Elephas maximus indicus: one gene and its partners. The protein of the gene in region 1 interacts with the protein of each later gene in a pairwise test. Links are inferred from orthologs where the notes say so. Each region holds a gene or a part of one and is shown on either strand. Other genes may lie near its edges. The genes, in order: APIP, NUDT18 and PDZD4.

Region 1 (7,593 bases):
TCACAACCTCTTTGCTGTAGAAAATGAGTGAAAATGTTTACAGAAACAGGTTAGAACTAGGAAATATTTAAAGATAAGTTATAGGGGGGTCTTTCAGGCCCCTGGAAGCACATACGAAAGTTTGCATATATGCATTTTTCTGAAGTGGTAAAGCTTTTATCAGTTTCAAATAGATTTGTGCCCCTCTAAAAGCCAGTGCTAGAAGAATCCCAAGCAAGATCTCCTGAACTATACACTTGAAAACCCCATTGGTGTCGAGTCAATTCTGACCCATAGCGACCCTACAGAACAGAGCAGAACTGCCTCATACAGTTTCCAAGGAGCGCCTGGTGGATCCGAACCGCCGACTTTTTGGTTAGCAGCCATAGCACTTAACCACTATGCCACCAGGGTTTCCCTAAATTCTTCCTAGCAGTGTGGTGGTGCAATGGTTAAGCGCCTGGCTGCTAACCGAAAGGCTGGCAGTTTGAACCCATCCAGTGGCTTCACAGGAGAAAGACATGGCGATCTGCTAACATAAAGATTAAAAAAAAAAAAGCCAAGAAAATCCTATGGCACAGTTCTACTTTGTCCCATGTAGTCACTATGAGTCAGAATGGACTTGAGGCACCCAACAACAACGTTTCGTTTAATACAAAAAAAGTCCATAATTTACACAGTTGCAGAAAAGTATCAATTAAATCACTGTTGTCTGAAATTTGTCGCTTGCCTCTTAAAACAAAATGTATAAATCTTCCATTATATGTGCTTGTTTATTCTTTTGCTAGACTGTAAGTGACTTTTTTTTTTTACGCTTGTCCACAATTGCAAAATAAACTGGGATTCATGAGGAATTTTAATTTTACACTTTAATACTAAGAAGACCCGTATTACAAGTTGGTAAGTCTTCTGACGTTTTTAGTTTATTTCACTCATAGGAAAAATATCTACAACCACAGACTACCTAACAATTCCAGACAGCCTCCTTACAAATGTGCCATTGGATGCTAAGTGAAAGCATATGAATCAACAGATTTCATAAATAAAATGGGGTGTGTATACTTGGTAGGCAATATATAGGGGTCCCTGGGTGGTGCAAGAGGTTAACTCGGCTGCTAATCGAAAGGTTGGAGTCCACACAGAGGCACCTTGGAAGAAAGGCCTGGTGATCTACTTGTGAAAAATCAGTCATTGAAAACCCTATGGAACATAGTTCTACTCTGACACACAGGGGTTGCCATGAGTTGGAACTGACTCCAGGGCAACTGGTTTACACAGTTCATTTATTAAAGCTAATTCACAATGTAAATATTACTAAAATTTGTTTTAAAATATACATTCAGCTCATTAACATTATAATGGAGACCTACTTAATTTCCCAGAGCCTTAGTATTTTCATCCATCAAAAATGCAGATAATGCCCACTCTACTAGGCTGTTTGAGAAGCGGATAAGAAGTTCTCGGAATTAGTAAGCATATGAAGTATGTCACAGCTTATAAAAATGCTGCCAATGAACACTTTTTAAGGAAACCAAAACTCCAAAGGTACTTCCAATTAACAGGTTTTTAAATCCTTGAAAGGTGTGAAAGAGGAAACAGTTCATTAATGTACTTAATCACATAGCCTACAGATTACCAGATAGCTGTTTAGTTTCATGGGACTACAATTTCTACAGAGCTCAATGAAGAACTGGGAAGACACTGTAAATTCATGCTTTGTAAATCAAATAGTTTAAGGACTGCCACATGTATTCAGCATGGCAAAACAAGAACTTGTAGGTCAAAGTCATAAGGAGATAAATTTTGGCTCGATACAGGAAAAAAAAAAAAATCCAAAGTTTCCAAATAACTTACAGCTATCCAATAACACAGTAGGCATCTGCAGTAGGCAGAATAACCGACCCCTCCCCCAAATTTCCACACCCTAACCCCAGAACCTGTGGTTATGTTACGAGGTAAGAGGAAGATGAAGGCTGAAGATGGAATTTAGGTTGCTCATCAACTGATTCTGAGGGCCAGAGTACCCTGGATTATCCAGGTGTTCCCAGTGCAATCACAAGGGTCCTTATAATTAACAGGGAAGCAGGGGGAAGTGTCAAGACTGATGTAAGACAGAGCTGACCATCACTGGCCTTGAAGATGGAAGGAAGCCAGGAACCAAAGAATCCAGGCCACCTCTAAAAGCTGGAAAAGGCAAGGAAACGGATTCTTGGCCAGAGCCTCCAGAGGAACATGGCCCTGTCAACACCCTGATTTTAGCCCATGAAACCAATTTTGGACTTCTGACCTCCACAACTGCAAGATAAGAAATTTGTGATGTTTTACGCCACTAAATTTGTGTTAATTTGTTGCAGCAGCCATGGGAAACCAACACAGCCTTCCTTGGGGTGTAGCTCCCTCTCCTTACAGATGATGTTCAAGCAGAGTTAGACAAGTTACTCATGCTGTGTGTGTGTGGGAAGGAAGGGGGTAGAAGGTTATGATGCAAATAAGGACTGCCTAAGTGAGTTTCTCTCTAAGGGGCAGTTCTACTCTGTCCTGTAAGCAGTGGGTTTGGTTTAGTAGGTTTAAGTGAGTTTCTAAAGGCAGGAGTCCCTCAACTGGGTCCAAGGAAAACCTCTGAAATTGCATGCATATTTTTGTGTATTTACACATATGCCCCTTTCTCTGCAGAAAGGCTCTAGAGCATTCAAAGATCCTCAAAAGGACCTGTTTCATAAACAAAGTTAAGAAAACTCTTCCTAGATTATTCCCAACACTGAGCTTTTAATATTCCATGATTTTCTTAGGCAGTATATCTTAAAGTGTAGTCCATCAAACACCTATATTAAAACTCACCTAAGGGTGGTTGTAAAATGCAGAATCCTGGGCTTCACCCCAGACAGGATCTTGGTGAGCTATACAAAAATTCGATTTTTAACAAACTTGGGTAGAGGAGGGGGGAGAGGGCTTCCATCACTCCAAGGAATATTTTATGAAATATCATGCTGAAGAAACTGAAATTGTTTCCATCACCTAATCTTTAGAAACACCAATGCACTCATCTAATTGTGTGACTTCGTGTAACTTATCTTTTCTGAGCCTCAGGTAGCTCAGAATATGTAGATGATGCCTACTGCACCTAATTTTTAAAACAAAAAATTATTCTGTGGAGACCCAGGAATGATGATTGGCAGGTAATAAATAGGTCAATCAAAAAAACACTAATCTTATTTTCTTCTGTCCCATGTAAGGAAAAATAATACCCTGCATGCCAATTTCTGGAAACCCTGGTGGCGTAGTGGTTAAGTGCTAGAGCTGCTAACCAAAGGGTCAGCAGTTCGAATCTGCCAAGCGCTCCTTGGAAACTCCAAGGGGCAGTTCTACTCTGTCCTATAGGGTCTCTATGAGTCAGAATCGACTCGATGGCACTGGGTTTGGTTTGGTTTTGGTTATGCCAATTTCATCTTGTCAACATCATTACTAAATGACAGCGTTCTACAATAAATGTCTTGGTATGATTCTCCTCTTAGCAAGGGGACGGTAACTCAGACCTCTCTCCGTGATGCCATAGGCATTTACAAACCATGTCCGTTAGGAGACATCCGTGGGGCAACCCGACTGGCCTCTAGGAAAAAACCTCTCAGTAGAGATGGTCATACAGAATGAATAAAAACGTCTAACAGTGGCATTTAGCTGTCAGCAACCTTGGCAGCTTTCCCCCGTACGAGGTGCTTGACGACCCTAAAGGAACCTGAGGCGTGACTCGTTAGGGACCTGACAGAAGGGCGTTTAGGCCCTTTCTCCGCTGCCTCGTAAATAACCCAAATTTCAAAGCAGGATCACGATGAGGGACCAGAAACGGAGTAAAGATATCCCAACACCCAGGAAAAACCTTTGCGGCATGCACCAGGCCAAGCCCGCGGATCCCTCCCGGATGACGAGCCAAGAGAACAGGGAGCCGCGGGAACCTCCACACCCAGACGCACACCCTCAGTTAGTAATGGACCTATTCGGGCCCATTGCTCAGCTACAGAGGCGCTGAGCGAGCCCCACTCACTCACCATGCATCCACTGTGTGCCGTGAAACCATCTCCAACTACCTACTCGGCCGCCAAAGCACGCGGCAGCCCCCTTAAGCAGCCCGGGGCCCTTAAGCGGCCCGGGGCTTCGGCGGCCGCTGAAACCCAGGAGGTAGCGTAGTATACGGGGGTCACAGCTTAACCTCCAGGAGGCCGCCATTTTCCCAGCCTTCGCGCGGGTTGTCCGCAGCACAGCCTGATCGCCCAGTCATCGAGGCCCCCCCAGGCCCCGCCTCCAATCTAGTTGATCACGCCCCCTGGCTGGGGCTGTGCTTTTGGGCCTCAGAGTCAAGCCGCCCTCCTAGCCCCGCCCCCAAATTCTTTGGCCCCACCCCGGCCCTCCTGCCTCGCCACAGGATCTCCCAGTCGGTGAGGCCCTCTCAGGCCCCGCCTCCCACCTTGTCCACCCCGCCTCTAGGCTGCCCTCAGCACCGCCTGATTGTTTCTGAGGCCTCACCGTGCGAACCCAGGTGGAACTCCAGGAGCGATCCCGTGCGAAGATCGGAGGCAGCGGGACCATCTTGTCCAGGCTATGTCTGGCTGCCGTGCTCCGGAAGGCGACTGTTTCCCGCAGCAATGCCTCGCTCAGGTAGGGGCGGTACCACCGGTGTCCTTTATTCCAATGAGGCAAGGCGCTGTTGGGACGCTGCTGCCGGAGCTCGGACGTGGGCCTGTCTTAGGGTCGCCAGCGAGGCGTGGAGCCTTGGGCGGTGCTTCGGGCCTGAGGGGACACGACCCCCGCACCCCGCTGCTTCCCCTCGCGGAGTTGAGGGCAGCACCCGTGACGATCGCCGCTACCCTGGCTGGGTTCAGCAGCGGCGGGAGCTGTCCCCCAACGTGCAAGAGGAAAAATAACGGAGCGGGGAGTGCGTTTGGGCGTCTTATAAGTGTGTTTTAAAACCACTTGTCAGGAAGGCAGGACGAGGAAAGAAACGAAGAGTCCTGGAGTGGAACTGAAGCTAACTAACAGTTTGAGCTCCTCGAACTTATTTTCTGTCCTCTGGCGACTGACTCGACGTTTGGCACACAGCAGGCACTCAGGAAACGTTTGCCGAACCAGAGCTAAGCCTCAGTAGCGAGCACTTTTCCTTTGAGCAGATGCTGTTTGCCTACCTCAGTTTAGATTATGGAATGATCATGAAAACGATTCTTCCTTAAGCTGAAGTCAAAGGAAAATCTACTCACAGACTATATATTTTTTACTCTCTCATAGATGCCAGTGATCATAAGGATGATTCAAACTGGACATTATTTCTTTATGTTACACATGGCAACCTTAAGTACAACAGAAGACGATGTCTAGTCCTGTATCATCCTCATGATAACTGGCATGTTCAAGTGCATAGTTGCAGCAATTGTGCCAGTCCATCTCACAGAGGTATCCATGGCCCTCTACTTCAGGGTAAATGTTGTCCTCTAGCGATTGTTCCCTCCTGGTGATGAGTTCAAAGCAAGTGAGTTGGACAGTGTTCTGATGTGATCCATAGATTTTCTTTTTAAAAATTTTTAAATTTATCGTGCTTTAAGTGAAAGTTTACAAATCAAGTCAGTCTCTCATACAAAAACTTAAACACACCTTACTATGTACTCCTAGCTTCTCTCCCGATAATGAGACAGCACACTCCTCCTCTCCAACCTGTATTCCCTGTGTCCATTCAGCCAGCTTCTGTCCCCCTCTGCCTTCTCATCTCTCCTCCAGACAGGAGCTGCCCACATGGTCTCGTGTCTACTTGAGCCAAGAAGCTTACTCCTCACCAGTATTATTTTTTGTTTTGTAGTCCGCTCCAGTCCCTGCCTGGAGTTGGCTTCAGAAATGGTTCCTGTCTTGGGCTAACAGAGGGTCCAGGGACCGTGACCTCTGGGGTCCCTCTAGTCTAGGTCAGACCGTTAAGTCTGGTCTTTTTACGAGAATTTGAGGTCTGCATCCCACTGTTCTGCTGCTCCATCAGGGATTCTGTTTTGTTCTCTGTCAGGGCAGTCATGGGTGGTAACTGGGCATTCTCTCTTTCTTCTGGTCTCAGACTGATGTAGTCTTTGGATATGTGGCCCTTTCCGTCCCTGGGGCTCATATTTACCTCGTGTCTTTGGTATTCTTTCTTCTTTGCTCCAGGTAGGTTGAGACCAATTGATGCATCTTAGATGGCTGCTTGCTAGTGTTTAAGACCCCAGACACCACTCACCAAAGTGGAATGCAGAATGTTTTCTTAATACATTTTGTTATGCCAGTTGACCTAGATATCCCATGAAACCATGGTCCCCAGACCCACGTCCCTGCTACTCTGGCCTTCAAAGGGTTTGGTAGCATTCAGGAAACTTACTTGCTTTTGGTTTAGTCCAGTTGTGCTGAACTCTCCTCTAATGCATGTGGTCTTTCCCTTCATCTCAGTAGTTCTTGTCTACTATCTAATTAGTGAATACCTCTCTACCTCCCTCCCCACCCTCGTAACCATCAAAGAATGTTTTCTTCTGTGTTTAAACTTTTTCGTGAGTTCTTACAATAGTGGTTTCATACAATATTTGTCCTTTTGCAACTAATTTCACTTAGCATAATGCCTCATAGATTCCTCCATGTTATGAAATGTTTCACAGATTCATCGTTGTTCTTAATTGTTGCATAGTATTCTATTACGTGAATGTACCATATATATATATATATACACCCATTCATCTGTTGATGGGCACCTTGTTGCTTCCATCTTTTTGCTATTGTAAACAGTGCTGCAGTGAACATGGGTGTGCATATATCTGTTCGTGCGAGGGCTCTTGTTTCTCTAGGATATATTCCAAGGAGTGGGATTGCTGGATCGTGTGGTACTTCTATTTCTAGCTTTTTAAGGAAGCACCAAATTGATTTCCAAAGTGGTTGTACCATTTTACATTCCCACCAGCAGTGTATAAGTGTTCCAGTCTCTCCATAACCTCTCCAACATTTATTATTTTGTGTTTTTTGGATTAATGCCAGCCTTGTTGGGGTGAGATGGAATCTCATTGTAGTTTTGATTTCCATTTCTCTAATGTCTAATAATCATGAGCATTTCCTCATGTATCTGGTAGGTACCTGAATGTCTTCTTTAGTGAAGTGCCTGTTCATATCCTTCGCCCATTTTTTAATTGGGTTATTTGTCCTTTTGATGTTGAGTTTTTGCAGTATCATGTAGATTTTAGAGATCAGATGGTGATCGGATTTGTCATACCCAAAAACTTTTTCCCACTCTGTAGGTAACCTTTTTACTTTTTTGGTGAAGTCTTCGGATGAGCGTAAGTGTGTGATTTTTAGGAGCTCCCAGTTACCTAGTTTCTCTACTGGTGTTTGTGCATTGTTAGTAATATTTTGTATACTGTTTATGCCATGTATTAGGGCTTCTAGCATTGTCCCTATTTTTTCTTCCATGATCTTTATCACTTTAGATTTTATATTTTGGTTTTTGATCCATTGTGAGTTAGTTTTTGCATATGGTATGAGGTATGGGTCTTGTTTCATTTTTTTGCGGATGGATATCTAGTTATGCCAGCACCATTTGTTAAAGGGACTCTTTTCCCCATGTAACTGATT
Region 2 (7,936 bases), on another chromosome or scaffold:
TCACCTTCTGCCCCCACCCATGCCCTGAGCTCTGTTCACACCACCCTCATCCTCCCTGGGCCCTGGGCAACCCTTTGCACTGCAGGCATTGCTGGGCAAGGGGCCCTTGAAATCTGCCCTCTCACTGGAGAGCTGTGAAGTGTGGGGAAGGGATGGGACCAGGGGACTGCCCGGGCTTGGCTGGAGGGAGTGATTGGGGCGATGCCACCCTGCCTGTGCTCCTCCCTCCCTCCGTCCTCTCTCCTTTGAGATTTCCATTAAAGTCTGTTGTTCTGTGAACGCTGCCAGTGTGGTTGGCACTGCTCATGCAGGCCACGTGGTCTGGGGAGGGAGAGGAGACATGGAAATTTGCTCAGGAGCAGGGGCAAATGGAGTGGGTGGGTGGGAACCTGGGGCCGGGGTAACAGGGACCGGCAGCACCTCTGCCTGCTCTTTTCCTGGGGGCCCAGGTCCCTGGCTCTCACTGAGAAGATAAAGCCTTCTATGTGGCTGCCCCCCAAAGATGGCTCCTGACAGACACAGCATTGAGGCAGAGCCCTGGGGCAGAACAGCACTGCTTCCCTGGGCAGCAATGGCCCGCAGAGACCCTGGATCTGCAACCCTCTCTGCAAACCCCAGGCCCCAGCCACCCACCTCTCCTGTCTGACCTGAGGTAGAGATCCATGCATGTGGCCCAGAGGAGCCCTTGCCCAGCGGGTCAGCCCTGAGTGCCTCAGACAGCTGACTGCCCCCCACTTCCCTCTGGTGTGACTCTGCCCCTCCACCCCTCTGCTTGTATATCTCAGCCCCATACATGCGCCAAGTATTGTTATACCTGATTGTTTCTGTGGTGGTTAGGGGAATTTTTTTATTAAATAATTTTTTTTTAAACGTTAATATACTTTAAGAAAAATTACAAAATAAGAAAAAGCCACCTGTAAACCCATCCCTACCTGCTCTAGGCTGAACCACTATTAGTATTTTGGTATGTTTCCTTTTGGTATTTTCCACAAGGTTTTGTACTTGGTTTCTGTCTTTTAACATTGTATTATAGACATTGTCCAAGTTGCTACCAAACCTTCATTGAAATGTCCCATTATATCCCATTAAGTGGTTTTGCCATGATTTATGTAACCATCCCCCCCTCTTTTTTTTAATTTAGATTTCTTCATTGTTCAGAAAGCTAGGTTATTTTTTTCATGGGATAAAAAAATAGAGAAGTCCTACACTTTACCAGGTACTGCACTGTGTTCATTTAAATTATTTCATATAATCTCTTACCAACATTTTGAGGTAGATGTTATTTCCATTTTACAGATGAGGACATGGGCAGATTAGGGTTAAGACAGTCACCCAAGGTCACACAGCTATTTGAGTGGCAGAACTGGGATTTGAACCAAGTTTTCTGACTCAAGCCATCTCGTTTACATTATAGTCTGAGCTCTTAATGGAGTTTAAAGATGGGTTTGCCCTCTTCTCTGTCCTCCTCCTTCCAACATTAAGCACTTTATGTCTGATCATGTTCCAAGTAGCCCTGAATGACCCATTCCCACTTACATTTCACTGTGTATAGCCGTGTCCTGATGTCACCCCAGAACCCAAAGTACAGGGTCCCTGCTGTGGAAAGATGGTGCTCTGAACTTTTGCCATTAAGGAGTCACTGGGCCTCTCTTCCCCACACAGACCTCCCCCAATCTGCATCACACCCCTACCCCATCATGGTGACCCATCCCAGAGGTCATATGTGGTCTGACTGCTTATAAACAGCAGGTGGATCAGTGTTCATTTGTTCCAGGGCTGGCCCGGTCCAGGTGGGCACGGACCCTGAGACTGGGCCTATGGGCACTCGATAGCACTGTATCTCATATAGGCTCGGCGGCTGCTTGACCCCAGTCTAGACCTGCCCTTTGGGCCTCTGCTTCTCACAGGCCTGTCCCAGCATCCCCATTGTCAATCTTCTGTTGTTTCCAGCCCCTCTCACTGGCCAGATTTCACATGTACAGCCCTCAGAGCTGGACATGAGCTCAGAGCGTGTATATCCCCTCGCATCCAATACCTTCTTTTTCTTATAAATTGTTTAGACTTTTTATTTTGAAATAATTTTAGATTTACAGAAGAGCTGCAAGATATGATAGAAAGTTTCCAATTACCCTTCACCCAGCTTCCCCTAATGTTAACATCTTATAAGACACCATGGTACATTTATCAAAAAAAAAAATTTTTTTTTTTTTTTAAGAAATCAACATTGATACAACTTTGTTAACAAAGCAACAGACTCTACTGGGATTTCACCAGCTTTTCACTAATGTCCTTTTTCTGATCCAGGATCCAACAATGCCTTCTTTTCACAGATGGCCTAGAGAATAGATGTGGTTCCTCTAAGGTCACTCAACAAGCTAGTGGCAGAGCCCAGCCTGAGCCAGACTTCTTTCGTAAGAGGGCCTGGAAGCTTGGGCTATGGCCCTCCTCACCTTTCATGCTTTGTTAAGAGACAAGAAGATTTGCTACTCTGTACATGCCTTTAGTGTCACAGATACTCTTGCCCCACCCTTGTCCCTGATGCTCCCTACTACAGGCCTTTCCGCACACGTGTTCACACGCACACACGTGTATGCACCTTGAAATGGCTGGCCCAGGCTTCTCTCCCATAGGTGTTGGGAGCATGGCACTGTACCAGTCAGGCTGTTCCTGTTCGCTCCACTGGTATTGCTTGAGTGGCACCCACACCAGCCAGTTTTCTTCCCTGTCTGGGAATGGAGGACACAGACCTAACTTGACAGAGATCTTTCTTGGTTCCTGGTTTTAGAGGACCACCCTCACTGGCTGGGTCTCTTTCAGCACCTAGCTGCCTCAGCCTCCGTGTCTTTCTATCTCAGCCCCTCTCCCTCCTCAGCTTTTCCCTCTTTCTGTCTCAGGGTCTCTTGAATATGCTCCCTTCCTCTCAATGCCTTGAGAAGAGTCTTTGTTGTCTCCTTTAGCATTGGGAAAGGGCTGAACAGTCCCTCCCATGTGTGCAGCCCTTCACAGTTTACAAGGGACTTTTGCACATTCCATTGCCTCATGTGATCTTCGCCACAGCGGTGATTAGGCCCACTTGGGGTAGCAGAGGAAGACTTTCCCTCAGTGATAATGGGGGGAGTGGAGCCGCGGTTTGTTGTAGTCTTCGCTCTTCCAGGCAGTTAGGCTGTCTGGTGTTTATCTTAGGCTGCCTTTGAGGCTCTCAGAGCCTTGCCCAGACATGACCTCACTCCCTCTCAAATCATCCCTGGGAGGCAGAAAGGCGTCTGGGACCAACGCTGTCCCCACTTCACAGATGGGAAAACCAAGGGATAAACACACACACATAGAGCAAATAAGTTAACAAGTTGCTCTGCAGTCCTGGGGTCCTGGCTCTCAGTCTTGTAAGTTCAGTTGTCTGGGAGGTAAGGAAGTCTTGGATATGGCTGAGGGCAGCAGCATTCACCAAGTGTCTCAAAAGTTCACGAGCCCACCGGGGCTGTCCTGCGGCTGAACATAGGGCCCTACCTCCAGGGAACTTGCAGTTAGTGTCAGTATGTATGAGAAGGGCCTAAAGAGGCAAACATAGTGTGGCTGGAGTTCCCGAGAATAAAGTTTAGTGCTATGGTGGCCCTGTAGGCATATTTCATGAGGGGGAGCGCCTTTTTTCATTGCAAGTCCTGTGGCCAGGAGGGCTCAGCCTGGAGGGTTGGGGGGCTGCCGGATGATGGCACCTCCCTCTGCCCAACACTGGACAGTGCACAGAGCAACTCCCACAACATCTCGCCTCACCTCCCAAACAACCCTGTGAAGAGTTTTTATGATTCTATTTATTCTACAGATGAGGAAACGGAGGCCCATAACTTTCCCAAGGGCATAGAGCAAGCCAGGGGCAGTGGCCAGACTTTCTAGCTTCAAGTCCAATGCTTTATCCATCTCACCACAGGCACTCTCTCAAAAGGGAGGGACACAAAGCCAGCAGGAGGGAAAGAGTAAAGGGGAGGCCTAAATGGAGGTGAGGAGCCCAGACTTGGCTTGCTTCATAGTTTCATTCCAGCTGGTCCAGACTTCCTGTCCTTTGAGGAGGTTAAAGGAAGCTCTGAGGAGGAAAGGTCAGCCTGGGAGAGAAGCAGAGCTCACCAAAACAACCCACACCCTGTTCTCAATGTGCCAGGCCCGTGTACTCGTGGAAGGAAACAAAGAGGAAGAAGCGTAACGTCCTACACTGATGAGGCTTGGCCGGCTGATTCCAGGCCCTCTCTCAGCCTATCCCCCAACCCCCCCGCCCGCCGTACCACACCTTGGTCATCCCGGAGGTGACCTCTCCCTTCTCCGAGTGCCTGTCACACCTCCTGCCACATCACTCATTTAGCACTTAGCTTATAACCCTCAGATGCCTTTTTTATATGTATATGTCCATCTCCCCAACTAGAATCTCCAACACGGGGGTTAGGTCTCCCCTGCCATGTGACATTGAAAGAAGAAAGTCATTTGGAAAGTGATCCTCTGGAGTAATGGCATTGCTTGTTTACAACAAAAGTTCCAAAGTGGATCTAAGCCGCGTGCCAAAGCCCCGTGACGTCATCGCGCTCGTTGTCACGTCATCGTCGCTAGCCACTGGGGCGTCTCTGCACCCGGCAGGCAGGATGACGTCACCTTCGGAACCAGTAGAGGCAAGTGCGCACTAAAGGAATGAGCGAGGTCGGCGGCGGGAGAAATCCGGAAAGACAGAGGAGGCTGCAGGAGCAGCCGACGCCCGGCGGGAGGCCGCGCTGCCCGGCGGCTCCCCCTGCGCTCCGGGCTGGCTCCGCCCCCTCTGGACTGGCTCCGCCCCCTCCGGGCCCTGCGCTGGCCAGCCAACCGGGGCCGGCCGCGGTGACGCGCAGCCTATCAGCGGCGAGGGCTCGCCGGCCCTTCCGCGTTCGCGAGCGCGCCCGGGCCGAGGCCGCGGCAGGGGGTGGGGAGAGACCGGCCGGCCACACGCTCGGCTCGCGTCGCACTGCGTCGGGCTGCTCTGCGCGGTCAGCGCCCGCCGCCTCCCACGGGACCCGATGGCCTCTGAAGGCCTGGCGGGGGCGCTGGCGGACGTGCTGGAGGGCGGGGGGCCGCTCGTGCAGAGCTGCGACTCGGTGCCGGCCGAGGAGCTGGTGGCCCCGGTGCGGCTGCGGAAGAACGTCTGCTACGTCGTGCTGGCGGTGTTCCTCAACGAGCAGGTGAGTGGCCGCGGCCGACCGCCAGCCCCACCGCCGGGCCTCTCGAGCACGCAGGCAGCCCAGGTGGAGACAACCGCAGCTCGCTTGTGTGTGGCATTTTCCAGTTTTGCAAAGCACTTTCACTTACACTAGCATTTGAGCCTGGTGCGGTCCAGGACTGCTATCATCCCGATGTACAGAGGAGGAAACTGAGGCCCAGGGGCTCTGGAACTCTTTCCCAGGTTTGTCCCCTAGGCCTCAGAACCTTGAGGGGAGGGCTGTCTTACTCATCTTCCTTTCCCAGGAGTCCAGTACAGTGCTTGGCACGTAGTGGGCTCTCTTGAAGATCGGAGACCTCCCCTGGGCCCCACGAATAGCAATAGCAGAACCCACACTTACACTCAGGCCTTCTGACTCCTGTCTAATGCCCTTTTTGGTACTGATTTTCCTGTACAAGTTGCTGTAATAACAGCTAGAAGGGGCCAGGACCATACATAGGGTTACATAGGGTTGAGGAAGGGCATGATTCAAAATGTAGCCATTAGTGAAAGGACGAGTCATAAGCAGTTAATCAACTATGTGGCGAGTCTAGATACATAGTGACAAATATAGACATGATTCAGCTCAGGACTCATAGTGAGTCTCACTCTGGGGCCACACGCCCAACCCCTGAAGCAACACCCAGGAATCTCAGCCCCTTTCTCAAGAGGAAGTCTTCCTGAATCTAAAACCAAAAAACAAAGCCGTTGCAGTCGAGTCAGAATAGTCACCCTGTAGGAGAGGGTGAAACTGCCCCATAGGGTTTCCAAGGAGCAGCTGGTAGATTTGAACTGCTGACCATGTTGGTTAGCAGCTGAGCTCTTAACCACTGCACCACCAGGGCTCCTTCTGAATCTGAAGAGGGAAGAATTACAGAAGGTACTCCTGAATAGCTCAACCATTTGACGGTGGCCATCAGAAAGGAGGACTCCCTGGGTGCTGCAAATGGCTAACGTGCTCATCTGCTAACCGGAAGGTTGGAGGTTTAAGTCCACCCAGAGGCACCTTGGAGGAAAGGCCTGGTGGTCTTACTTCCAAAAAATCAGCTCTCGAAAACCCTGTGGAGCCCAGTTCTACTCTAATACATAATGCATCACCATGAGTTGGAGTTGATGCGATGGCAGCTGGGTGTCAGGAGGGGCGTGTTAGGCAGAATGAATGTGAGATGTGATCAGGCCCTACAGCAAGGAAGGGCTTGGGGCTATGCTGCTCCTCTGGACTTCTCAGCACTGGAGCCCCCAGACCAGCTGTGGTGGGGGGGTGAGGATCCTCTCTTTCCCTTCAGGATGAGGTGCTACTGATCCAGGAGGCCAAGCGAGAATGCCGTGGGTCCTGGTACCTACCCGCCGGGAGAATGGAGCCGGGAGAGACCATCGTGGAGGCACTGAAGCGCGAAGTGAAGGAGGAGGCCGGACTGCAGTGTGAGCCTCTGACTCTGCTGTCTGTGGAGGAACGGGGCCCCTCCTGGGTCCGCTTTGTGTTCCTCGCTCGCCCCACAGGTACAGTATTGCCTGGTGGCAGGGAGCAATTGACACCTTTTCCCCCAGCTTGTCTTCAGGTGAGACGAGCCGAGCCCCTCCACAGCCAGCCCTCTTGTGGCTGGTACAAGCCTGAGAACTCTGGGCCTCCTCCCTGGGTCGGGGCTAGAGAGCCTGGGGGTCTGTTCTACTCTGCCGGACCAGGCACTTCTCTTTTGCTTATCCTGTCTCCCAAATCCCCTTAGGTGGAATTCTCAAGACTTCTAAGGATGCAGATGCAGAGTCCCTACAGGCTGGCTGGTACCCACGAACCTCCCTGCCTACTCCATTGCGAGCCCACGACATGCTGTACCTGGTAGAGCTAGCTGCCCAATATTGCCAGCAAGCTAGGCACCCTCTAATTTTACCCCAAGAGCTTCCCTGCAGTCTGGTCTGCCAACGGCTCGTGGCCACCTTTACCAGTGTCCAGACTGTGTGGGTGTTGGTGGGCACCGTGGGGATGCCTCACTTGCCCATCACGGCCTGTGGCTTCACCCCCATGGAGCAGAGGGGCGGCATGAAGATGGCCGTCCTGCGGCTGTTACAGGAGTGTCTGACCCTGCACCATTTGGCAGTGGAAACCAAGGGGTTGCTGGGACTGCAGCATCTGGGCAAAGACCACACAGATGGCATCTGTCTGAATGTGCTGGTGACAGTGGCTTTCCGGAACCCAGGTATCCAAAATGAGCCCCCGAAGATTCGGGGTGAGAACTTCTTTTGGTGGAAGGTAGTAGAGAAGGACCTACAAAGCCAGCTCTTACAGAGGCTTCAGGAGTCATCTGTCATCCCAGTCAACAGATAGGAAGGGGCCAGGAGTGGGCAAGAAGCTGCTCTCCTCCACCACGGCTTCATCTCTCCTCTGAGGGAGACAGGAAGCTGGAGACCAGGGATCTTGTTGCATTGGGAGCAGGGGCAGTTTTCTTGATTCTCAGGGGATTCCCATCTCTCCCTGGCTATGGAGCAGGTCCTACATCACACCCACCAAGAAGGACAGTGCCTTTAACCAAGCAAGGAGTCCAGAGCTCGGGGACCTGATTGCCCTGAGGGCAAACTGAAGCTATTTCATAAGGGGATGTGGGAACTGTCTGAACCTGAGATGTCATATAGTCATCATTTCCTGTGTCCACCTCCATACATGCCTACATCTGAGTCCTCTCAGGCACTTAGAACATGAAAGGGGCATGTGGGGAGCAGGCCCCTTGCTGAAGTAAA
Region 3 (7,860 bases), on another chromosome or scaffold:
CTCAAGATTCAGGAGGAAAAAAAGAAAACGCTCCAGGAAGAGTAAATTGAAGAATCAAGAGACGTCTTGTAGTAAACAATTCTCAAATGAAACCCAGTGGAAGGAACTTACTCAATACTTTGGAGTCAATGATAGGTTCGGTCCCCCTGTAAAAAAGAAAAAAATTGACAAGTCAGGTCTTGAAAAGAGCATAGACCAGACTTCCAAAGAGTGGAATATTGAGAAGACTGAGGAACTCAGCAACTAGCTGGCTACTCGAGAGCTTGGTGTTAAAATTGCCAAAGCTATCGCCTGCCACAACTTTGTAAAAGCCGAAAAGGATGCTGAAAATTCACAGGTTGTTTGAAAAAAGAAGAAACTTGCATGGAGATCTGAAGCAACGAAGAGATGGGAAACCAAAAGCAACATATGTATGTAATATAAATGTAACTTGCCAGAGCTCTTCCAGATCTTTCTAGACTCGCAAGTGCTTGATTTACTGAAAGATTTTCCTGCTTATACTAAATATGTGAAGAAACTGATAGAAGTAGGAAAACAAAGCCTAAAATTTGGGAGTTGATTATCAAACCTTTTCAATCTTTTTCTAAGGAGCTTATCCTATTGAAGTGGTAGAAGAAATCTAAGCGTACCCCCAGAAAGAAACGATAGGGTCCATTTATTTGTTTATGTAGACCTGTATGTAATATGGAGTCAATTTTACTTTTTATCCGTTTGATATAGCAAAGCCAGTGAGCTCCTTGAACTTTCTTGTCTGTACTTGGTTTGATTGCACTTACTCTGGAATGTGGTTTTTAAGATTGGTATTTATTTATTTATGATTGGTCATAAATGCTAACAAGTCTCACTTGATACTGTCTTTTACCACTGACTTTAATTACCTTAATGTTATAAAAGTAATTGTTGACTCTTTATTGAGAGGCAGTAGAGTTGATATGTCATAGTCACATGCTAAAAGCAATTGATTAATTTTTGTGTACCTTCAGATAAAATATCTCAATAAAAAAATCATAGACTGTAAAAAAAAAAAAAAAAAAGGTCAGCTACTAACCAAAGGGCCAGCAGTTCAAATCCACCAGCCACTCCTGAGAAACCCTATGGAGCAGTTCTACTCTGTCCTATAGGGTCACTATGAGTCGGAATTAACTCGATGGCAACGGGTTTGGGTTCCTTTGGTTTTATAACACAAGCAAAAAAAAAAAAAAAAAAGCATAGGCTTGAAAAATGCCTGCCCGTGGGCCTTGCCTTTTCATGCAGCTTGGAACCCTTCTACCACCACGTGAATGACGACAACCTCGCCTGTTGGAGGAGTCATGAAAAGGAGAAATGAGCACTTTGGCTGGCAGCCTTCCAGCAACTGCCATGTGTCTGAGGGCATTCTTGGCCATCCAGCCCCAGCTACATTGCCAGCAGGTTGCCCAGATCATCTGAGCCCATCCCAAATGGCCAACCCACAAAACTGTGAGCTAATAAATGATTGTTGTTTTAAACCACATTTTGGGATAGTTTGTTACATAGCAAAAGCTAGCTAATACAAAAAGCACCATTAGGCAAACACCATAGTAATAATGGTTGCCAGCAATAATCACTGTCTTAGTCATCTAGTGCTGCTATAACAGAAATACCACAAGTGGATACCTTTAATAAACAGAAATTAATTTTCTCACAGTCTTTTTTAGTAAGCTAGAAGTCCAAATTCAGGGCATCAGCTCCAGGAGAAGGGTTCTGTGTCTGTTGCCTCTGGAGGAAGGTCTTTCTCATCAATCTTCCCCTGGACTAGGAGCTCCTTGCACAGGAACCCCGGGTCCAAAGGATGCGCTCTGCTCTGGGTGCTGCTTTCTTGGTGTTATGAGGTCCCCCTGCCCGTCTGCTTGCTTCTCTCTTTTATATCTCAAGAGATTGCCTCAAGACACAATCCAAACTTGTAGGTTGAGTCTTGCCTCACTAACACAACTGCCACCCATCCTCCCTCATTAACATCAGAGAGGCAGGATTTACAACACATAGGAAAATCACACAGTACTGGGAATCACGGCTCAGCCAAACTGATACACACATATCTGGGGGGACATGATTCAATCCATGACAGCCACCAATGGATGCTAAAATCAGCTGGTGAAAGTTTGAGTAGAAACGAGATATTGCATAGTCTTATAGTATTGTCTCCAAGATATTTATTAATTGTTGTTGTTGTTAGGTGCCGTCAGGGAAAAATAGTTGCTTTACAGCGAAGAAGCCTAGCAGACACCAAGTGACCAAGGTTAACATTACGAGTAATAAAACATAGCGACATCATGTACCCCTTAATATGATACACTGAGAATGGTCCGTGGCATCTGGGGTATTCTTTCTAAAATGCACAACCTCAGTCTAATCATGAGATAACACCAGACAACCCAAATGGAGGGAGAGTCAACAAAATAACTGGCCAGTATGCTTCAAAAGTCTCAAGGTCATGAAAAGGCCAAGAAGGACTGAGGAGCTCAGACTGGAGAAGATTAAGGACACACGACAACTAAATATAGTGTGGGATCCTGAATTGGATTCTGAACCAGAAAAAGGACATTGGTAGAAAAACTGGTGGCATTTGTAAACACAGAGATTATCTAGTAGTCTTAAAAAAAAAAGAAAAAAATTTTTTTTTCTTTGTCTTATGTCCGTGCTAATACGCAAATTTTGGTAATTATACTGAGGTTACACTCGATGTTGACCTTCGGGGAAGGGGAGAGAAAGGTATATGGGAACTCTCTGTAGTGTTGCGCAATTTCTCTGTCAACCTAAGGTTGTTTCAAAATGAAAAGTTACTTAAGAAGCTGCTACAGAGGAGATGATGGGTAGCCCAGTTACATTCTCGGGGACTCTAGCCCGTTTCACTGGCCCTCCTGACGACGTCTCTTATAGAGACTTCGACTTAGTGTCCGCTTGTAGGTAACGGTGGGTATGAGGAGATCTGAGCATTGCAAGGGGTGGGTGGGACTGGACATCTCTGGTGCCTGGCTGCACGTCCTTCTGGCCTGCCATCTGCTCCAGCCATTGCTGGGACACTCAGGTTTCCACAGCTGCTGTGCCTCTCTCGTAGGGGCCTGTGGGGATGCAAGGCAGTTCTCCCTTGTGGGGTGACTCTTGAGCAGAGGGGGATAGGAGTGGATAAATAAATGCTCCCCTTTTTGGTCTTGGGCCCTGGTGGCACAGTAGTTAAGAGCTTGGCTGCTAACCAAAAGGTTGGCAGTTGGAATCCACCAGCCGCTCCTTGGAAACCCTATGGGGCAGTTCTCTTCTGTCCTAGAGGGTCACTATGAGTCGGAATTGACTCCACTGCAACAGGTTTGGGTTATTTTTTTGGTCTTGGGCAGACAGTTCTGAGATGCATTCTACCCAGCTCCTGCCGGGTCAAGCACCAGCTGCTCAGAGTGGCGCCCCACTAAGAATGCACCCTTGCACAGGCTTTCCTCCTTTCCTCTGTCTCCCCAGGCAACTATACCTGAACCCTAAGACCGCATTCCAACACAAACCACCTGTACGCTGGCCCTGCTCTCAAGTTCTCCTTTTTGGGAGAAACCCAGGATAAAACAGATCCCCGATCCAGAGTCCAGGCAGGCCCACCATTCCCCATTCCTGTCCTCCAGGAGCCAGAAGACAAGACTGGCTTCGGTGGAGCCTTCCCCAACGCCGCTAATTACGCAGCCCTGTGTGGTCAATACCCTGGTGGCGCAGTGGTTAAGTGCTACGGCTGCTAACCAGAGGGTCGGCCATTTGAATCCAGGCGCTCCTTGGAAACTCTATGGGGTAGTTCTACTCTGTCCTATAGGGTCGCTGTGAGTCGGAATCGACTCTACCGCACTGGGTTTGGTTTTGGTTTGGTGTGGTTAATGATTCTGTCACTTGCCCAAGCCTGGAAATGAAGCGTGAAGCAATTTAATCAAGCAATCTCCTGCAGGCAGGGGGCCAGGTTCAGCAGCTCCCCTGGTCCCCTGGGAACACAGCCCTCAAGCCGCTGCTACTTGCCAGGCAAAGGCCTCCTCTCTCCAGGCGTGTCCAAGAAGAAGGGTCAGGATCTGGGAGAGAAGAGGAAGCCTGAGCGCGGGGTGGGAACCAGGCGAGCCAGCGCTGTGCGCACGAGGGCCCCACGGAGTCGGAGTCGCCTCGTTGGCTCTCCCCACGACCCCACCGCACCTCAGGCTTTTCTCTTTTTTTTTAAACAAAGGTGACCATTTCAACGACAGGGCGGGAACGCTGAGTTGAAGGAGGAAAGAAGTCATTGAAAGGAAGGCGGAGGGAGGAGTGGAGGCATTCAGCCGGCTCTGTCGGGGACCTAGGACAGGGGCTGCAATCGCGCTCAGGGCTTCGGGGGGACCGCGGCTCCGCCCCCAGGACCCTCTCGCCGGCCGGCACAGCGCCGGCGGCAGGTCCCGGGCCCGGCCGCGGGGGGTTGCGGGGCGCCGGGCCCGTCCAGGCCCCGCCCCCGGCCCGCGCGCGCGCGCCCGTCCGCGCCCTCCCCGCCCCCGCCCCCGCCCCCGCCCCCGCCCCCGCCCCCGCCCCCAGCCGCGGCGCGCGCGCGTGCCGGTACTTCAGGCGGGAGCTGCAGACGGCGGCGCTGCGGGCTGGAGCGGTGCGAAGGGCTAGAGCGCGGGGCGGCGGGCGGGCGAGCGAGCCAGAGCAGGAGGCGCGGGCCGGGCCGGGCGGGGGCCGCCGCCGCGCCGCCGCCCCGTAGTCGGCGGCCGGGCCGCCGTGCCGAGCTCCAGCCGGCTCCCGCCGGCGGCCATGGGCGCGAGCCGCGGGCGGTAGCGGCAGCGGCGGGCCCCGCGGGCGCAGAGGCGCGCAGCCCCGGGCCCTGACGGCCGCTAACGGCCCGCGCGCCCCCTCGCCGCCTTGCTCTCCCCGCGGGGCATGCCCGCCGCCCACCGCCCGTCACCCGCGAAAGGCATGGCCACTGGCCCGGGAGCCCGGGGCCCTCGCTCTGCCCGCTGATCGCGCCCCGCGCTCAGGCGCCGCCGGCACCATGGGGTGCAATATGTGCGTGGTGCAGAAGCCGGAGGAACAGTACAAGGTGATGCTGCAGGTAGGGCCGCCGGCGGCGGGCGGGCTGAGAAGGGGCGCGGCCCGCTGTGGCCCCAGGCGGGGCGGGCCGGAGCCCGCTGCCCTCGTGTGTGGCGGCGCCGGGGGGCGTGGACCGGGCAGCGCGCTCGGACCCGACCTCAGCCGGCGCCCCAAGCGGGCCTCCTGCCCGTGCGCGTGCCTGCGTGAGTGCGTGCCTGTGCCCGTCTGTGTGCGCGGAGGCCCAGCCCCGCGTGTGTGCACTTTCTGTGTGGACCCTGCGATCTGTCTAGAGTAAGGTTCCGCACGGTGAGGACTGAGACCCGGGCCTTAGCGGAGGGAGGCCAGTGGCAGAGCCGGGCGCACGGACAGGTGCTACACCAGCGGCTGGGGTGGAACTCTGGATTTGGTGGTGAGGACCGGAAGCAAGTGTAGCCGGGGCGGGGGAGCCCTGCAGGGGCTACCCAGACGAGTGGGAGGGAATTCCCCAGACACCGCGGCCTTCCGCTCGCTGCCCTCTCCGTGCCCCCCCATTCTAGCCCCCCCCCCCGCACTCCTTTCCCACCCCTCTCTCTTTTCTCTGGTTCTAGCTGTTTGAGAACCTGGCCTGGGAGATCGCCATTCTCCTTTAGCGAGAGAGGGTTCTGGGATTACCCAGCCCAGTGTCAGCTCCAGGGCTGCGGGAGGAGGTGGCTGGGCTGTTGAAGGGGCACAGGATCCCATCTCACAGCTTCTTTTCCTGCAATCATTCCATCAAATGACAAGCAGCTTCTTAGTGGCGGAGTCTCTTCACTTTCTTGGAGAGCAGCTGGTGGAGGGCTTCATTTCAGACTAGCCTCCCCAGGCTGTGTGGAAAGGGGAGGGCTACTGGAGCCTTGCCACAGGACTGAAGTGAGCAGTTGGTGGGAGGGGACGCTGCCTTCTGGGAGGCTCAGTTTGGAAGAAAGGCTTGAGGCAAACCTGAGCGGGAGAATGCCAGCCTTCCCCACCCCCAATGAATGGACTTGGGAAGGAAATCCGGGGAGGGGCCCATCAGCCACCCTCTGTGCTCCTCTGTGCTCCTTCCGGACCTGCAGCTGCCACTGATCGGCGCCCCAGGGGTCACCACTCCCCTTTAAAGCTCCTGCTGAACTTTGGACACAAACCATCACTTTCCTTATCCCCCTTGGCACCAGCTGAGATGGGATGGAGTTAGTTTTAAGAGAACCCTTCTTTAAAAGGAAGGGGCAACAAAAGGGGATTGAACAAACAAGATATGGAAAGCAGGGAAAACCATTAGATGTCTCAGGTGACTTGGCTTCTGGAGTGACAATGGATTCCTGGGCACAGTAAGGAAAGTGTCCCCAGGCTCGTGCCACCTCTCAGAGGAGAATGAAACTCTTGTCCTGAAAGATCAGTCCACTTCCCAGACCCTTGCCTGGATCCCCTCTCCTTGTCACTGGTGCCCTTCGTTTCAGCTGGCACCTCTCCCTGTCTCTCCTTGCCCTCACCCACCTCCTGAGCGACCTGGTCAGCGCTCACCATGGCACCTCAACAAGGTCAGAGACCCCACCAAGACATGATGCGTGGGGCTGCCTCTCAGAGAAATGTCTGTGTGTAGCACCAAAAAAACAAAACCAAACCTGTTGCCATCAATTCCAACTCCTAGCAACCCTATAGGACAGAGTAGAACTGCCCCGTAGAGTTTCCAAGGAGCACCTGGTGGATTTCAACTGCCACCCTTTATGATTAGCAGCTGTAGCTCCTAACCACTAGGCCACCAGGGTTTCCATGTGTAGTACAGTTTCCATATAACTCTTCCTTGGTCTTGAGGTCTGCGCCCCGCCCCTCCCCCCAATTAAGAATCCCCAAATCTATCCTAGCCTGGAGTTCCAAACCCTTTCCTCCCAATGACACATAGGCACTTTTTTTAAGTAACAGCTTTATTGAGATATAATTCACACACCATATGGTTTATCCATTTAAAGTGTACAATTCAGGGATTTTTAGTGTATTCAACAGAGTTGTGTAACCATCACCTCAATCAGTTTTAGAACTTTTCATCACCTCTAAAAGAAAACCCATACCCAGTAGCAGCCACTTCCCATTTCCTGCTAACGTCTCCCCGGCCCTCAACAGCCACCAGCCTACTTTCTGTCTCCATAGATTTGCCTGTTCTGGACATTTCATATAAATGGAATCATACAGTATATGTTTTTTTTCTTTAATCTGGCATCTTTCACTCAGCATAATATTTTCAAGGTTCATCTCTGCTGTAGCAGAGATGTATCAGGACTTCCTTCTTCCTTCTGGCTTAGTAATACTCTGGTGTATGTATGTGTCATTGGCTTAATCCATTCATCTATTGATGGACTCTTGGGTTCTTTCCACCTTTTGGCTGTTGTGAATACTGCTATGAACATTCTTATACAAGTTTTTGTTTGAACACCTGTTTTCAAATTCTTTTTGGCATATACCTAGGAGTGAGATGGCTGGGTCGTATTATCATTCTATGTTTAACTTTCTAAGGAACCGCCAAATTGTTTTCCATTCCCATCAGCAAGTCACAAGGGTTCCAATTTCTGCATATCCTCCCCAACACCTGTTGTTTTCAGGTTTTTCCTGATAATAGCCATCCCAGTGAGGGGTGAAGTCGTATCCTGTGGTTTTGATTTGCATTTCCTTGAAACCCTGCTGGTATAGTAGTTAAGTGCTATGGTGGGCAGTTTGAATCCGCCAGGTGCTCCTTGGAAACTCTATGGGGCACTTCTACTCTGTCCTTTAGGGTCGTTATGAGTTGGAATCGACTCAGTGGGAATGGTTTTGGTTTTTTAATAACTAATGAGACAG

Evidence for each region.
Region 2: the proteins of APIP (region 1) and NUDT18 interact in binary tests that used the Homo sapiens proteins (3 or more experiments, as listed by UniProt). The two-hybrid records come from large-scale screens. The link is inferred for Elephas maximus indicus from reciprocal best matches to the Homo sapiens genes APIP and NUDT18.
Region 3: the proteins of APIP (region 1) and PDZD4 interact in a two-hybrid assay, tested with the Homo sapiens proteins (2 studies listed by BioGRID and IntAct). The two-hybrid records come from large-scale screens. The link is inferred for Elephas maximus indicus from reciprocal best matches to the Homo sapiens genes APIP and PDZD4.

Annotation. Positions count from the first base shown.
Region 1 is NC_064825.1:90,201,030-90,208,622, reverse strand, and holds the start of APIP (methylthioribulose-1-phosphate dehydratase), read left to right. Parts: upstream 1-4,546; 5' UTR 4,547-4,572; coding exon 4,573-4,629; intron 4,630-7,593. Other genes in the region: PDHX (pyruvate dehydrogenase protein X component, mitochondrial), read right to left, coding at 4,023-4,200. UniProt on the Homo sapiens protein: Catalyzes the dehydration of methylthioribulose-1-phosphate (MTRu-1-P) into 2,3-diketo-5-methylthiopentyl-1-phosphate (DK-MTP-1-P).
Region 2 is NC_064840.1:52,592,471-52,600,406, forward strand, and holds the start of NUDT18 (8-oxo-dGDP phosphatase NUDT18), read left to right. Parts: upstream 1-4,838; 5' UTR 4,839-5,027; coding exon 5,028-5,189; intron 5,190-6,492; coding exon 6,493-6,706; intron 6,707-6,930; coding exon 6,931-7,526; 3' UTR 7,527-7,936. UniProt on the Homo sapiens protein: Mediates the hydrolysis of oxidized nucleoside diphosphate derivatives. Hydrolyzes 8-oxo-7,8-dihydroguanine (8-oxo-Gua)-containing deoxyribo- and ribonucleoside diphosphates to the monophosphates. Hydrolyzes 8-oxo-dGDP and 8-oxo-GDP with the same efficiencies.
Region 3 is NC_064846.1:2,522,711-2,530,570, forward strand, and holds the start of PDZD4 (PDZ domain-containing protein 4), read left to right. Parts: upstream 1-4,789; 5' UTR 4,790-4,996; coding exon 4,997-5,056; intron 5,057-7,860.